2 linked regions of the Elephas maximus indicus genome follow. The protein of the gene in region 2 purifies or fractionates together with the protein of the main gene of each other region. This does not show direct contact. Links are inferred from orthologs where the notes say so. Each region holds a gene or a part of one and is shown on either strand. Other genes may lie near its edges.

The links.
Region 1: the proteins of PSMB2 (region 2) and FBXO7 purify together in Homo sapiens (affinity purification with mass spectrometry; 3 studies listed by BioGRID and IntAct, counting the BioPlex papers as one, with this or other methods). This does not show direct contact. The link is inferred for Elephas maximus indicus from reciprocal best matches to the Homo sapiens genes PSMB2 and FBXO7.

Annotation. Positions count from the first base shown.
Region 1 is NC_064822.1:175,190,993-175,198,134, reverse strand, and holds the start of FBXO7 (F-box only protein 7), read right to left. Parts: upstream 3,060-7,142; 5' UTR 2,817-3,059; coding exon 2,695-2,816; intron 2,415-2,694; exon of another isoform or gene 2,337-2,414; coding exon of another isoform or gene 2,300-2,336; intron 1-2,299. UniProt on the Homo sapiens protein: Substrate recognition component of a SCF (SKP1-CUL1-F-box protein) E3 ubiquitin-protein ligase complex which mediates the ubiquitination and subsequent proteasomal degradation of target proteins and plays a role in several biological processes such as cell cycle, cell proliferation, or maintenance of chromosome stability.
Region 2 is NC_064821.1:76,947,487-76,955,617, reverse strand, and holds the start of PSMB2 (proteasome subunit beta type-2), read left to right. Parts: upstream 1-4,950; 5' UTR 4,951-5,093; coding exon 5,094-5,184; intron 5,185-8,131. UniProt on the Homo sapiens protein: Non-catalytic component of the 20S core proteasome complex involved in the proteolytic degradation of most intracellular proteins. This complex plays numerous essential roles within the cell by associating with different regulatory particles.

The sequences.
Region 1 (7,142 bases), on a different chromosome or scaffold from region 2:
GGGAATACTATGGTAAGACTGGAACCAGGGTTGCCTGTCCGACGTCCATGCAGGACAGCTAGCATACTTTGGTTCCAAAACCTAGACCCATGTCCTTCATGCATATTCATAACCATAAAAGTTAGACGAGCGTATGTAGTTGACAGAGTACAAATGTATCCCCTCGACCAGATGATGACAAGTTGCAACCCTCCTACTGAGAACGTGTTGTCTTTTATACAGAAGACAGCAGAAAACCAAAAACTCACTGCTAAACCAATTAAGAGCTCAAATAAACCTTAGGCAACGCATTTGCATTGTTTCTGCATCACAGATTATCTGACTTTGTAAGGATAACCATCTTTTCATCACAGGGTGGTGAGGAATTAACAAAACCATTGTAAAAGGTTTTGTAAGACCATTTACACTCAGGAATGCTGATTTCATTAACTTTTTGAGACATTAACAAAGGATAAAGTCCTTTGACAATCACATTGTATTTTCTTATTTACAATGCTGCACTTTCCAAAGTGCTCAAAACAATTCATTTGTTTTCCTTTTGACTGTAAGTACATTTTTTTCTCACCAATTAAAAAGTCTTTGGTAGAGAAATTACTGAAATAGAAACGACCCCTGCTTCTCAAAAAAAAAGTAGCTCTGCTTCTGTTTTCAAAGTGTTTTTGATAAAATGTTGAAACTCTGCCAGCTGCCCAAAAAACACCATCCCAGCTTTGGCAGAAAAAGGAAAAACATCTCAAGTGAACTATATTTGTTTCTGGATCATTTGTCACAGCAAAAGGTTTTTTTTTTTTTTAACAGTATCAAGTACAAATATCTATTTGTAGAAAAGGCAAAGAACTGTCTGCTTAATAAAGAACATCGGCCTCTTCACCCTTTAAAAAAGGGAAGAGCTATTTCTAAAACAAAAAATGCAGTTTTCTAGGAAGAGGGTTTAAAAGGGTTGTTTTCTGAAACTGTTCTGTTTTCTGAACTTAAATTTTAAGTTCATCAAAAAATGAAATCCTAGAAACTCCCAAGCTTTTTCAAAATACTTTTATGACAATCCCAAATCCACTCGCTCAGTAAAGACACTTTAAAATAACAATGTGCTATGTACACCTTTTAAAACTACCCATTTACTAGAAAATGAACAGACTTTCAGAAGGATGAATTCACTTTTGTAAGGTGCAACTTAAATTCCTTTCTGTAAATCAGCCTCCACTGTAAAAAACAAACCTGAAAGAGAAATGAACTTCAGCTCTTGGCAAATAAGAGTCATATTGGGGCAAACAAGTCATATTGGGTTTCACATTCTTTTAAGATTATCCTGCCTAATTAAAAACTAATAATAAAAATATATATACATATGAAAATGCCTTGAAAAGAAGTTAATTTTGAAATGAGGGCAGTAAGCAAAACACTTAGGTTTAAGGCAAAGAAAATAATGATGGGCACATAACTGAAGAGAAATTATGTTCATACCTCTTTTTAAAAAAAAAAAATTGGGAGGAAAACATGCTTACTTTTAATGTAATAATGTCTTAACCTTAAAAAGGGAAGAGTGAGAAGATCATAATATGGCCCCACTTTACGGAACTCCCTAAAAACAAATTGGAAGCTTACAACAGTCTTATGAAAGGAACCATTTCAATTAACAAGGTTGTCTCTTGAAAAATTCACCTAAAACGTCCCCCAGGGAACGACTTTATTTTGTCTTAGCTCAAATTTCAAGTTCATTACCTCAATATTTGAAAAGAATCACCTTTATTTTGTCCTCTATTCCCAGATTATTGTCCCAGAAAACACCTTCTATGGAAACAAAACAGCCTCATCAGTAGCCCCATAAATTAACAGAATTTAACGCTTTACCTCTCAACTTCACTGTCCTAACACTGCCAAGTTCCCCAGGGTCATTATAAGGCCCTAAGTTTTAACACTTTATTGCCCAGGACAATACAATGATGTCAAGCACCTCTACAGAGTGTACTTTGTGAAAATTTGCAGCGAGGTAAGTGCAAGTGCTCACCAAGGGGCCTGGCACAGAAACTCAAGGTAGTCTTAAAATGACTGCAGCCTGACAGCAGCCGCACCAGTTAAGGGTGGCTTCGGGTGGAGAGCAGGTTTGTAACTTCTAGTATTCCCAAACCTTTCACTGAAATATTGAACAGGTGCAGAAAGTGAACTTAAACCCCTAGAGTCTGGAAATGTTTAAGCCATGCCAAGCTCATCAGTTCCAACTTTAAATTTAAAAATCCTGTGAGTTCTGCGTGCTATCCTATCCGTGGTTTCGTTTGCCATAAAATCGGAGTCGGTTACTTACCCTGCGGGGGATCGGAGCCCCCGGGACGCTGCGCCATGGGTCCTCGCAGCTGGGACAACCGCAAAAGCAGCCGCAGCTCCCCACTCCCAACCCGACGCGCCACCCGGACACTGGCCCCGAGCCCGCCCTAGTTCCAGCCCCAGAAGCGCTCCCGAACGGCGACGCCCCCAGAACGCAGAGCCCTCACGTGACGCCCGGGGCGTCTCTGCACCCTGGCGGAGCGCTCAGTGACGCCGGTGCCAACAGGCGACCCCAACCTCACGGCGCCCCACATGGGGACCCACGCTCCCGAGAGCGCACAGTCGCACGCAAACACCCGACTTACACCCTCACTTCTCCTACCGTACACCCCCAACGCCCGCGGCCGGGCTGCACCCCCAGCCGCCCCCGCGTACCTGTACCCCCAAGTGGGCAACAAGGCCTGGCCCAGATGCGCGCGCAGCTGCCCCAGCGTCGGCTCCGCTTCCGACATCTCCAGCGGCCAGGTCCGCTTCTGAAGCCGGACCCGAAGCTTCATGGCCGCGGCGGGGGTACCCAGGGGCTCGGACCCGGGGGCGGCGACAGTGGCGACGGCGGGGCCCAGCAGCTCCCGCCTCAAGCGGAGACCCAGGAGCGACAACTACCGGTGTTGTTAAAGTGCTGATGTGTAACGGGTAAAAGTCGCCGCCACGGCGGCCTAGGCCTAGCTCGCTAGTCCCTAAAACAAGGGCGCTCTGTCCCTCCTATAAGGGCGCCCCCTAGAGCCGACCCGCAGAGCGAGCAGCTGGCGACCAGCGCCGAGCCCAGCTGCAAAGGACCTTCCGATCGATGACTCGGCGCGCTACGCCGCTACCTGGGAGCGCGCGGCTTCCGGGCCGCCCGGGCGCCGCGGTCCAAGCTGACGGCGCGGAAGGAGGAGCGCGCTGCGCAGGCGCCCAGACGTCGGGGTGCGCTGGTACCCCGGCTCTTCCGCAGAGGCTGCTTTCTGACGTCTGAAAGGTGTGCTGGGAAGAACGTTATTGCTGAAAGGGATGCTGCGGACCGTACAACTCACCACGCCCCATGGCTTATGGGTACCTAGTTCTTACCCATTTCCTGCGTGGCGAACGACTGTTCCTTCATCAACGCCCAGTTCTAGTGGCACCTGCTCTGAGAAGCCCTTAGATTGAACCCCGGCTCCGGTAACTTCCTCCTTTTGTGCTTCCGCAGGGCTGTGTTCAAAAAGAATTAAGGGGAATAATGTATGGCAAACCACTGAGTATTGTCATAATTGGTCTCCCCAGTTACTGTGTTACATCACGCAGTTTCCTTCTTAGAGTTCATCAAAATCTGAATTTTTCTTTTTAATTGAAAATTAACTAATTGTTATTGTAACAGTTACTAATTGTTCGCCTACCACAGGCGAAGCTCCTGCCTGTAAGATCAAGGATCAAGTCTATCTTGTTCACCACGCGTACGTTGTTGTTGTTGTTTGTAGGTGCCCTGGAGTCGATTCCGACTCATAGCGACCCCTGTGCACAACAGAACGAAACACTGCCCAGTCCTGCACCATCCTTACAATCCTTGTTATCCTTGAGCCCATTGTTGCAGCCACTGTGTCAGTCCACCTCGTTGAGAGTCTCCTCTTTTCCGCTGACCCTGTACTTTGCCAAGCATGATGTCCTTCTCCAGGGACTGATCCCTCCTGACAACATGTCCAAAGTATGTAAGACGCAGTCTCGCCATCCTTGCCTCTAAGGAGCATTCTGGCCGCACTTCTTCCAGGACAGCTTTGTTCGTTCTCCTGACAGTCCATGGTATATTCAATATTCTTCGCCAACACCACAATTCAAAGGCATCAGTTCTTGGTCTTCCTTATTCATTGTCCAGCTTTCACATGCATATGATGCGATATGAAAATACCATGGCTTGGGTCAGGCCCACCTTAGTCTTCAAGGTGACATTTTTGCTCGTCAACACTTTAAAGAGGTCCTTTGCAGCAGATTTACCCAATGCAATGTGTCTTTTGATTTCTTGACTTCTGCTTCCATGGCTGTTGATTGTGGATCCAAGTAAAATGAAATCCTTGACAACTTCAACCTTTTCTCCGTTTATCATGATGTTGTTCATTGGTGCAGTTGTGAGGGTTTTTGTTTTCTTTATGTTGAGGTGTAATTCATACTGAAGGCTGTGGTCTTTGATCTTCATCAGTAAGTGCTTCAAGTCCTCTTCACTTTCAGCAAGCAAGGTTGTGTCATCTGCATAACTCAGGTTGTTAGTGAGTCTTCCTCCAATCCTGATGCCCTGTTCTTCATATAGTCCAGCTTCTCGGATTATTTGCTCAGCATACAGATTAAATAGGTCTGGTGAAAGAATACAACCCTGACGCACACCCTTCCTGACTTTAAACCAATCAGTATCCCCTTTTTCTGTCCCAACAACTGCCTCTTGATCTAAGTAAAGGTTCCTCATGAGCACAATTAAGTGTTCTGGAATTCCCATTTGTCGCAATGTTATCCATAATTTGTTATGATCCACACAATCGAATGCCTTTGCATAGTCAATAAAACACAAGTAAGCATCCTTCTGGTATTCTCTGCTTTCAGCCAGGATCCATCTGACATCAGCAATGACATCCCTGGTTCCACGTCCTCTTCTGAAACTGGCCTCAATTTCTGGCAGTTCCCTGTCGATATACTGCTACAGCTGCTTTTGAATGATCTTCAGCAAAAAATTTTGCTTGCCTGGGATATTAATGATATTGTTCTATAATTTCCACATTCAGTTGGATCACCTTTCTTGGGAATAGGCATAAATATGGATCTGTTCCAGTCAGTTGGCCAGGAAGCTGTCTTCCATATTTCTTGGTATAGACGAGTGGCCACCTCCAGCGCTGCATCTGTTTGTTGAAACATCTCAACTGATATTCCATCAATTCCTGGAGCCTTGTTTTTCACCAATGCCTTCAGAGCAGCTTGGACTTCTTCCTTCAGTACCATCAGTTCCTGATCATGTGCTACCTCTTGAAATGGTTGAACATCGACTAATTCTTTTTGGTATAATGACTCTGTGTATTCCTTCCATCTTCTTTTGATGCTTCCCATGTCGTTTAATATTTTCCCCATGGAATCCTTCACTATTGCAACTCAAGGCTTGAATTTCTTCTTCAGTTCTTTCAGCTTGAGAAACACCGAGCGTGTTCTTCCCTTTCGGTTTTCCATTTCCAGCTCTTTGCACACGTTATTATAATACTTTACTTTGTCTTCTCAAGCCACCCTTTGAAATCTTCTGTTCAGTTCTTTTACTTCATCACTTCTTCCTTTTGCTTTAGCTGCTCAACATTCAAGAGCAAGTTTCAGAGTCTCCTCTGACATCCGCCTTGGTCTTTTCTTTCTTTCCTATCTTCTCAATGACCTGTAGCTTTCTTCATGTATAATTTCCTTGATGTCATTCCACAACTTGTCTGGTCCTCAGTCACAGTTGTTCAGTGCATCAAATCAATTCTTCAGATGGTCTCTAAATTCAGGTGGGATATACTCAAAGTCGTATTTTGCCTATCGTGGACTTGCTCTGATTTTCTTTAGTTTCAGCTTGAACTTGCATATGAGCAATTGATGGTCTGTTCCACAGTCGGCCCCAGCCTTGTTCTGACTGACGATATTGAGCTTTTTCATCGTCTCTTTCCACAGATGTAGTCATTTTGATTTCTGTGTGTTCCATCTGGCAAGGTCCATGTGTACAGTCGCCGTTTATGTTGGTGAAAGAAGGTATTTGCAATGAAGAAGTTGTTGGTCTTGCAAAATTCTGTCATTCAATCTCCAGCATCATTTCTGTCCTCAAGGCCATATTTTCCAACTACTGATCCTCCTTCTTTGTTTCCAACTTTCGCATTAAAATCACCAGTAATTATCAATGCATCTTGATTGCATGTTCGATCAATTTCAGACTGCAGCAGCTGATAAAAATCTTCTATTTCTTCATCTTTGTCTCTAGTGGTTGGTGCGTATATTTGAATAACAGTCCTGTGAACGGGTCTTCCTTGTAGGTGTATGGATATTATCCTATCACTGACAGCATTGTACTTCAGGATAGATCTTGAAATGTTCTTTTTGACGATGAATGAAATGGAACGCATAAACATCGATATTCTAGGCATTAGTGAACTGGGATGGACTGGTATTGGCCATTTTGAATCGGACACCTGTACATATTATGCCATAAATAAATATAAATAAATAAACATTTGTGGTGCATGTGATAAGTGCTAACAGCAGGAGTATGTACATGATATGGAGTTGATTAACTGGGAGTGACACTTAAACTGCATTTTAAAGTATAACTAGGAATTTCCCAAGCTTAACAAAAGCAGGATTGAGCAATAGAGAGAGAAGAGTATACAAAGGTGGGGAAAGGTTAAATGGCATGCATATTCAGGGTAGCAGTAAGTTACAGAGCTGAAGACTTATGGGCTATTGAGAACGCTGTGTTGTAATTGTTGGGATTACTTGCTACTCAATACATTGTAGGTGCCTGAGATTGGAGACTGAATCTCAGCCCTGAGACAGCATCTGGGCTTGGAAGATGCTCAATAAATGCGTTCTAAATGAAGGAAAGAATTAATGAATGAACCCAATGGTTCTTAGGACTTTGTGCGAAGGAAATTAATCATCTAGAGCTTATGTGAAAGGACAACATACACAACAGATAAACTCTATAAGGGGTGATGGGCTGAGATTCACTCCTTAACTTCCCAAGCAGTGAGACTCAGCAGTATGAAATTTGGACATCTGACTTACTCATTTTCTAGACTCAAGGCCCACCGTGAGAAGTTCACAAAGTGATGGACAAAACAGTAACCCATAACACAGTAGATTGTGATAAAATG
Region 2 (8,131 bases):
TTTTTTTTGTAGGTCTAGGTTTCCATGTGGTGTAATTTCTTTCTACTTGAAGAACTTTAATATTTCTTATATGTAGGTCTTTCAGTGATGAATTTTTCAGATTTGTATGACTGAAAAAGTCTGTTGAAAAAGAAAATAGAATTTTAAGTTAATTTTTTTTTCAGTACTTTAAAGATGTTTTCCACTGTCTTCTGGGTTTTACTGTTTCTCACAAGAAGTTTGATGTTATTCATATCTTTGATCCCCTGTAAATGAAGTGGCTTTTTTCTCTGGCTGCTTTTAGGATTTTCTCTTTAATATTGATTTTAAGTAATTTGTAATGTGTCTCAGTGTAGTTTTCTTTGTGTTTCCTGTGCTTGGGGTTCGTTTAACTTCTTGGATCTATGGGTTTCTATTTTTCATTCAATTTGGAAACTTTTTTCTCATTATTAAATTTTTTTGTCTTCCTCCCTCCTTCGGGAACTTCAATTACACATATATTAGGCTACTTGACCTCGACCCACATTTCATTGGTGTTCTGCTCATTTTTTCCAGTCGTGTTCCATTTTAGATATTTTCTATGTGGTATTTCTTATACGGAAACCCTGGTGGCATAGTGGTTAAGTGCTACGGCTGCTAACCAAAGGGTTGGCAGTTCAAATCCGCCAGGCGCTCCTTGGAAACTCTAATGGGCAGTCCTACTCTGTCCTGTAGGGTCGCTATGAGTCGGAATCGACTCAACGGCACTAGGTTTGGTTTGGTTTTGGTTATTTCTTATATACCCTAGTGGTTAAGAATGGGGGCAGTCTCAGGAGCTTCCATTTGGCCTTTCCTACTACAATGTCTTTTGCTGTAAAGGTCAAGGATTTTATGTGACAGTTCTGCCAACTGTTAACTATGTCCATTCTAATTATACACTTAAGAATCAGGGAAGTGACCATTGGGTGAATCAACCCAATGGATCCACTGCGATATGGACTGGACTAGGACTTTATTTCTTACCTGGCCCCCAATAAGAGGGGAGCCACGATGGCACTTTGGGTCCTCAGGTATAACAAGACCCAGGTCTTGTACCCAACAGCTCTTGAAAAATCTGGGCATGCCCTTTCCCCCAGCATATGGCTACCTGAATAAATTACCATAAACCCCCTCAGGGAATGACTGAGGGAATCACTGCTATATACACTTGTCTTGGTATTGTAGAGTCCTTCCACCTGGGGAACCAGCACATTTTTAGTCAACAGATTCTGGGTCTGAAACTCACTCAGGTCTAGAAACTTGGCAAGGGATTGTAACTTTCTATTGGGGTGGCTGGCCTCCATCCTCTCATCTGTTCTTAAGTAGATATACTAAGTAATACCCTTGTTGGCTGCCCATCTACCTTACCTCTAGGAAAACTATGTTCTTTGTGCCATTTCCATAGGTTTCTGCAGGTCAAAGTCCCCTGGCTGACATTCTGACCTTGATGATCATTGAGGTAATTACACCTGTCTTGCTTCTGATGGCTAAGTGCTGGCCACTGCTATTTTAGGATCCTGTCATTTCCACTGGTAATAGGGAGACCCATTCTGTAAAGCATTTCCTACTGTCAGATCCACCTGACAGATGGCAGCCACTACTGAGTTTTTCAATGATACTAGTTTCCCCTTACTTGTATTTTCTTTAAATGTGTCTTCCCAAAGCATTTGATTAGCTAGTGCATTTTCTGAACTTACTGAGTAGACCAATTTTAGCCTGCCCACTTTAGTGCCTTTTACTCCTTCCTCCACAATTTCCGATAGACATTCTAGCATCTCTGAACCTTCACAGACTTTTTGCTAGTTTTATGACTTAGTTATTCTAAGACTTAAATTGAAGTGGGGTTCTCCCTGATTTTTTAGTGAGACATAGCACATGTTAGGTCTTAAAAACCCACTTTCTTCTATACTAACACAAAGTTAGGACAGCTGTAGTGTTACTTAGCTAGAAGAAATTTAAAAAGAGTCCTGGGGAGAAAGACGGAAGAGTCAGCTTAAAAGATCTCTGGGTCTTTTTTTTTTTAAGATTGTGTATCTTCCAATTCAGAATTCTGCAACTATTGTGAATCAATGAATGGCTCAATGGATGAATATTGGTATGTACAAAGGAAAAAGCCTGGAAGGATATAGATCTCTGGTGGGAGGGGAGTATTTAACTTCTCACTCTTGTATTATGTGTGTGTGTGTCTGTGTATACACATATACTATACAACTGTGTACTTTTTGTAATTAAAACACACACATAAACACACACAACGAGAGAGAGAGGGAGCAAGAGAGGCTTCTTCCCCAGTAGTGTTTAAGAAAAGGATCTTTATAGGATAATGGATGCAGCTGTGTTCTAGTAGGGTGGTTGACTTAATAACGTCACTTGCCCATGGCACCCATCTCATGATAGATGGGCTGCCCCACACTCCTCAGGCTCTATGTTCCTTTATGGGCAGAGAACTGGAAGAAACATTCAAAAGGAAGTAGGGTCTACACATTTCTGCAGAGGTAAATGAACTGCATAGTTGTGTTTCGAGATGTAATTGCAACTTTTTTTTTCATTTCTTAGTTAGTATGAAAACTCTGTTGGAGATGACAGAAACTAGTCATAGAATATGTCAGTTTCCCAGAACAGCTGCAAGATATAATGGTTCCAAGATATAAAGTTTTTTTTTTAACCTATTAAAAATTATGAATACATGAGTGTTGCAAAACATTCAAATAATATAGATGTGCATAAAATACAAAGTGAAAATCCTCCCTTCAAATCACACTCCCCAGAGGTAACCACTGCACACAATTTGACATGTTTATTTCCAGATCTTTTTCTAATTCTATTTAATATTTTTTACAAAATGGCATCATGCTACATATTGGAATGCATTTTCACTTTCACTTAACATATTTTGGGCCATGTGGAATATATTAATATATTTAGGTTCATTTCATTCTTTTTAGTGGCTGCATAATATTCCACTGCATGAGTGTACCATAATTTATATAACAGTTCCTCTACTTATGGACATGTATGTTGGTTCCTTTTTTTTTTTTTTTTTTTTGCTGTTTCAATGCTGCAATGGATATCTCTTAACAAATATTTTGGTATTTATGCAAATATTTCTTTAGGACACATTTAAAAGCTTATATACACTTACATTTTAATGTATATTATCAAATTGTTCTCTGTAAAAGGGCCATGACAATTCATAATCTCACTGGTGATTTTAAATTTCTCATTTTCCTAATCTCCATCAAGGCTAAGGATCTCTTCATGTTTCTTGGCCATTTGTATGGCTTCTTTTGCGAACTGCATGTTCTTAACTTTGGCCATTTAAAAATTATGTTCTTTCCACTATTGATTTGTAGAAACTTTTTAAAGTTACAGATGTTAACTACTTCATATATTGAAAAAATTATCATTTTATACTTATCTTTGAACAGTATGGTGACTTTCACCACACCAAAACAAAAAACCAAACCAACTGCCATCGAGTCGATTTCGACTCATAGCAACCCTATAGGACAGAGCAGAGCTGCCCCATAGGGTTTCCAAGGAGTGCCTGGTGGATTTGAACTGCTGACCTTTTGGTTAGCAGCTGTAGTTCTTAACCACTACACCACTAGGGTTTCCTTTTCATGCCACTGAAACTTGCAATTTTATATAGTCATACCTGCCAGTCTTTTTCTATATGGGGGTCCCTGGGTGGCACAAATGGTTTTGTGCTCAGCTGCTAACCAAAAGGTTGGTGGTTTGAGTCCACCCAAAGGCTCCTCCAAAGAAAGGCCTAGTGATCTACTTCCAAAAATCAGTCACTGAAAACACTATGGAACCCAGTTCTATTCTGATACACATGGGTCAGAATGAACTTAAGGGCAACTGGTTTGGTTTTGGTTCTGTCCCCCCTCTTCCCCCCCCAACTTGCTTCTGGGTTTCCTGTCATAAGCACGTGTCCCTTCCGAAGACTATCAAAATATTCTATTTTTTTCCCGCTGTTTTTATGATTCACCTTCATGCTGCGTCTTTAATAAAAACAAACAAACAAAAAAAACCCTCAAACCCGTTGTCGTCGATTCGGATTCATAGCGGCCCTACAGCACAGGGTAGAGCTGCCCCACAGGGTTTCCAGGGAGCACCTGGTGGATTCGACCTGCCAACCTTTTTTTTTTTTTTTTTTAATAATTTTCATTGTGCTTTAAGTGAAAGTTTACAAATCAACTCAGTCTCTCACACAAAAATTTATATACACCTTGCTATACACTCCCAATTACTCTCTCCCTAATGAGACAGCCTGCTCTCTCCCTCCACTCTCTCTTTTCGTGTCCTTTTCGCCAGCTTCTAACCCCCTCCACCCTCTCATCTCCCCTCCAGGCAGGAGATGCCAACATAGTCTCAAGAATCCACCTGATCCAAGAAGGTCGCTCCTCACCAGAATCCCTCTCCAACCCATTGTCCAGTCCAATCCATGTCTGAAGAGTTGGCTTTGGGAAGAGTTCCTGTCCTGGGCCAACAGAAGGTCTGGGGGACATGACCACCAGGGTCCTTCTAGTGTCAGACCATTAAGTCTGGTCTTAACGAGAATTTGGGGTCTGCATCCCGTCGACCTGCCAACCTTTCGATTAGCAGCCATGGCTCTTAACCACTACTCCACCAAGGTTTCAGTAGGGAATCCTCTCACTTTTTCTCCAATTCGTCTTTCGGGTAAGAGATTTTTGGAAAGGTTTTACCGGGTAACAAGGGGAAACGGCCACCTGGGACCATCGCTTTAGGGCACCCATAAGTGGTTGGCACTTCATATATGGTGTGTAACTTCCCCCTCAGGGGGGTTACGGATAAGGAAATAGGGCGTTGCACAAAGTAACTTACAGAGCCATTACTGGAAGAGACACCGTCAGGGCAAGAGGCAAACGCAGATTTAACACACCTAGCACCACACTCGCTTTCCGACCTCTCGCGACAGTTGTACGTCATCCGAGAGCGCCGGTGACCGGGGCGGTAGCGCGGCCTACGTCGCGTGAAGCTGTGACCTGCTGTGCTGTCTCACCGGTGAGGCCGAGAAGCCAGCGAGACGTGCGTTCTGTAGAACCTGCAGCCTCCGGCCTCCCGCCACTATGGAGTACCTCATAGGCATCCAGGGCCCCGACTACGTCCTGGTCGCCTCCGACCGGGTGGCCGCCAGCAATATTGTCCAGATGAAGGACGGTGAGAGGAAGCAGGGGAGGCCCGGCCGGGCCTGGGTGTTGGGGCAGAGAAGGGAGTTCGGGGGCGGGGGGTTGGGGTACCAGGGACGTCTGGAAGTTAGGACCCGCCCTGGCCTGCCATCCACTTATCTTTTAGAGCTGAGGAGACAGACAAGCTTACGACCTTGCTAGCCATTCCTCCCAGGGCTCCTAGGTCAGTGCTCAGTGCACTGGCCTTCGCTAAATACTTGCTAGGAGAGAGTTGCCTAAGAGAGTTTAGTTTGTAAGTGCTTAAACCGCTGCCCAGCACTAGGCTCCCCTGGTAAGTTTCCTGTTGTCGCTACCAGTGAGATTAGTTTCGTGGAATCCTGGGGAGAGTGAGACTGTGGGACCAGAAGCTTAGTATTTTCTTTTCTTCCGCTGTCTCTTCCCTTGGCTCAGCTCTTATGCTCCTTTTCTAGTTTTCCTGGGCACTGGCTGCCAAGTTTTCTTTATGTTTTAGTAGTTAATAGAATTAGAAGACACGATTCCAGCCCCCGTCGCTTTCTTGCTTTGTGACTTTGTACAAGTTACTTTACAGTGCCCAGATTTTCTAATCCGTAAAATCAGATTAGTATTACCAGCCTCACAAGATTGCTGTGAGGATTGAGTGAATGAGGTAAATTACGTGCGAACGCCCAGGAGAGTGATAAATACTTGGTAGTAATTTATAGGTGCTGGACCGGGCAGCGTTTCGTCGGTTGTACATAGCGTCGCTTGAGTCGCAATCGAGTCTATAACATCCAACAACAATACTACTACTAAGCACTTATTATGTATGTGCTTAAAATGATTTACTAATTCGTTTAACCTTTTGAGATAAGCACTATTACATCCCCACTTTACAGATGTTAGTTCTGAGGCACAGAGGTTAAGAAACTTGCCCAAGGTCACGAATGGCAGAACCAGGGTTCAAACTTATGTGGTGTGACTCCAGACCTTTTGCCCATATTTGCTGTACTATACTGTCTCCTACAGTGTATACTCAAATACTTCAAAAAAGATTTTGGTCGTTGACATGAGAAATCTAAGTGTGTGTTTTCATGACTGATCATAGACGTGCTACTGTTGAAAAAGCATTTTGCTTTGTCTCAGAGATGATTTAATTGTTGGTTTGACAGACAGGTTTTGGATACCTATGTGTACGTTACAGTACTAGGTGCTGGGGGAATGCAAAGAAGAGTGAGAAACAACCCCTATCCTAAGATTATTAGGTGTATAATCTTAAAAGAAGTTACAGTTTAATAAGGGATTCGGATATGTGTACCAATAATTACATGAAGTGTTATATGAAAACTACAATCAAACTTCTCAGGTAATGCAGAGCAAGAAGAGATTGTGCTCAGGTAATCCAGAGGAAAAAGATTCTTTCTGGTTGTAGAGATTTAGAGAAAACTTTGAGAGCAGCTGACAGTTCATCTTGGGTTTAAAGAAAGAAAAATTATTAAATCCAAGGTTTCTTAAAGTGTATGTATGAACAAAGGCAAAAAATGTGTTCACAGCTGCTGCCTCAGCAGGCATCTGATTGTCAGGCTGGAAAGGTAGAATGACCTCTGATGGACTTCACTTGTGTGTTCTAGTCTTCCTGAAGAAGAGAGTCCTGAAAGTGGTTTATTAAACATCTATTGTATGGATTGTTCCTCAAGTGAAATTACTTAATGAAATTAGATGATTAGTTTGTAGAAGTTCTGTTTGTAAACTAGTCTTTCAAAGGAGTAAATTTGTTTTGTTTGAGAATAAATTTGTCCGTTATTTTGAATACTGAGCCTTTTGATAAGCAAATTATTTAGAAGCTGTTTTTAAGTAGAATAACCAAGTCAGTATCTTTACAAATCTTCTGTTTTATCATGACAATGTATGTGAAATAATTTTGAAAAGTAAAATGTGCTTTAAGCCTATTTGTGTACAACATATTAGACATAGATTAGTCCAAAACATTAAGGAAACAAGGAAATGCATATTACAAGGTGATTTTGTATGATAAAAGAAGTATCACTAGTCAGTATTAGTTTTTAAATTAATGATTTCAGCAGTGATTCCTAAGGGCATTCAGAGAAAGGAAAGATCAATGTGGTTTAGAAGAAAGATGAATTTGAGTTAGTTCTTGAAAAATGATAGGAAATAATTGCAGTCAACTCTGATTTTCCCCATGGTTTTTTCTGGCATAAACACTTTTATGATGGGAGCTTTGGAATTGTATAAGGACTTTTTCCTACTATTCATTTCCTGAAGAAACTGTGTGGGTAGGCAAGAATGCTGAAAACAGTAGCCTTTTGGGGCTTATTTTCTCCAACTATAAAATGAGAAAAATACTTGCCATTCGTTTTTCATTTTGTCGCTTTGCAAAATATTTTGATACTATAGAGAAGGCATTTCCCAAAGATTGCTTATCAAAATTAGGTGGTACAACTCTCAGTTTGGTTGTATGCTGCGTTTCATATTTCTTGGCTTATGTAAAATTATTTTTAAAATCAGAGTACACCAACCCACACAGAACTCTTTTCTTTTCTGAATTCCGATACCATGTATAATCTGAACTACATTGTCTAACACTTAGGTATGATAATATTGTACATGTATAGGATTCTCTGGAAACCCAGGTGGTGTAGTAGTTAAGTGCTATGGCTGCTAATCAAGAGGTCAGCAGTTCGAATCTGCCAGGTGCTCCTTGGAAACTCTATGGGCCAGTTCTACTGTCCTATAGGGTCGCTATGAGTCGGAATCAACTCAACGGCAGCGGGTTTTGTTTTTGGTTTATAGGATTCATTACCATTTTCCTCACCTGTGAGTTAGGCAAGGTTAAGTGATACTATCACCATTGTACACATTTGGAAACTGGGGCTTAGGGATAACAAGTAATTGCCCTAAATTTAGAGTGCTAAGGCCAGATTATAAATGAAGTCTGCTGGTTTCTACTCAGTTGGTTTTCC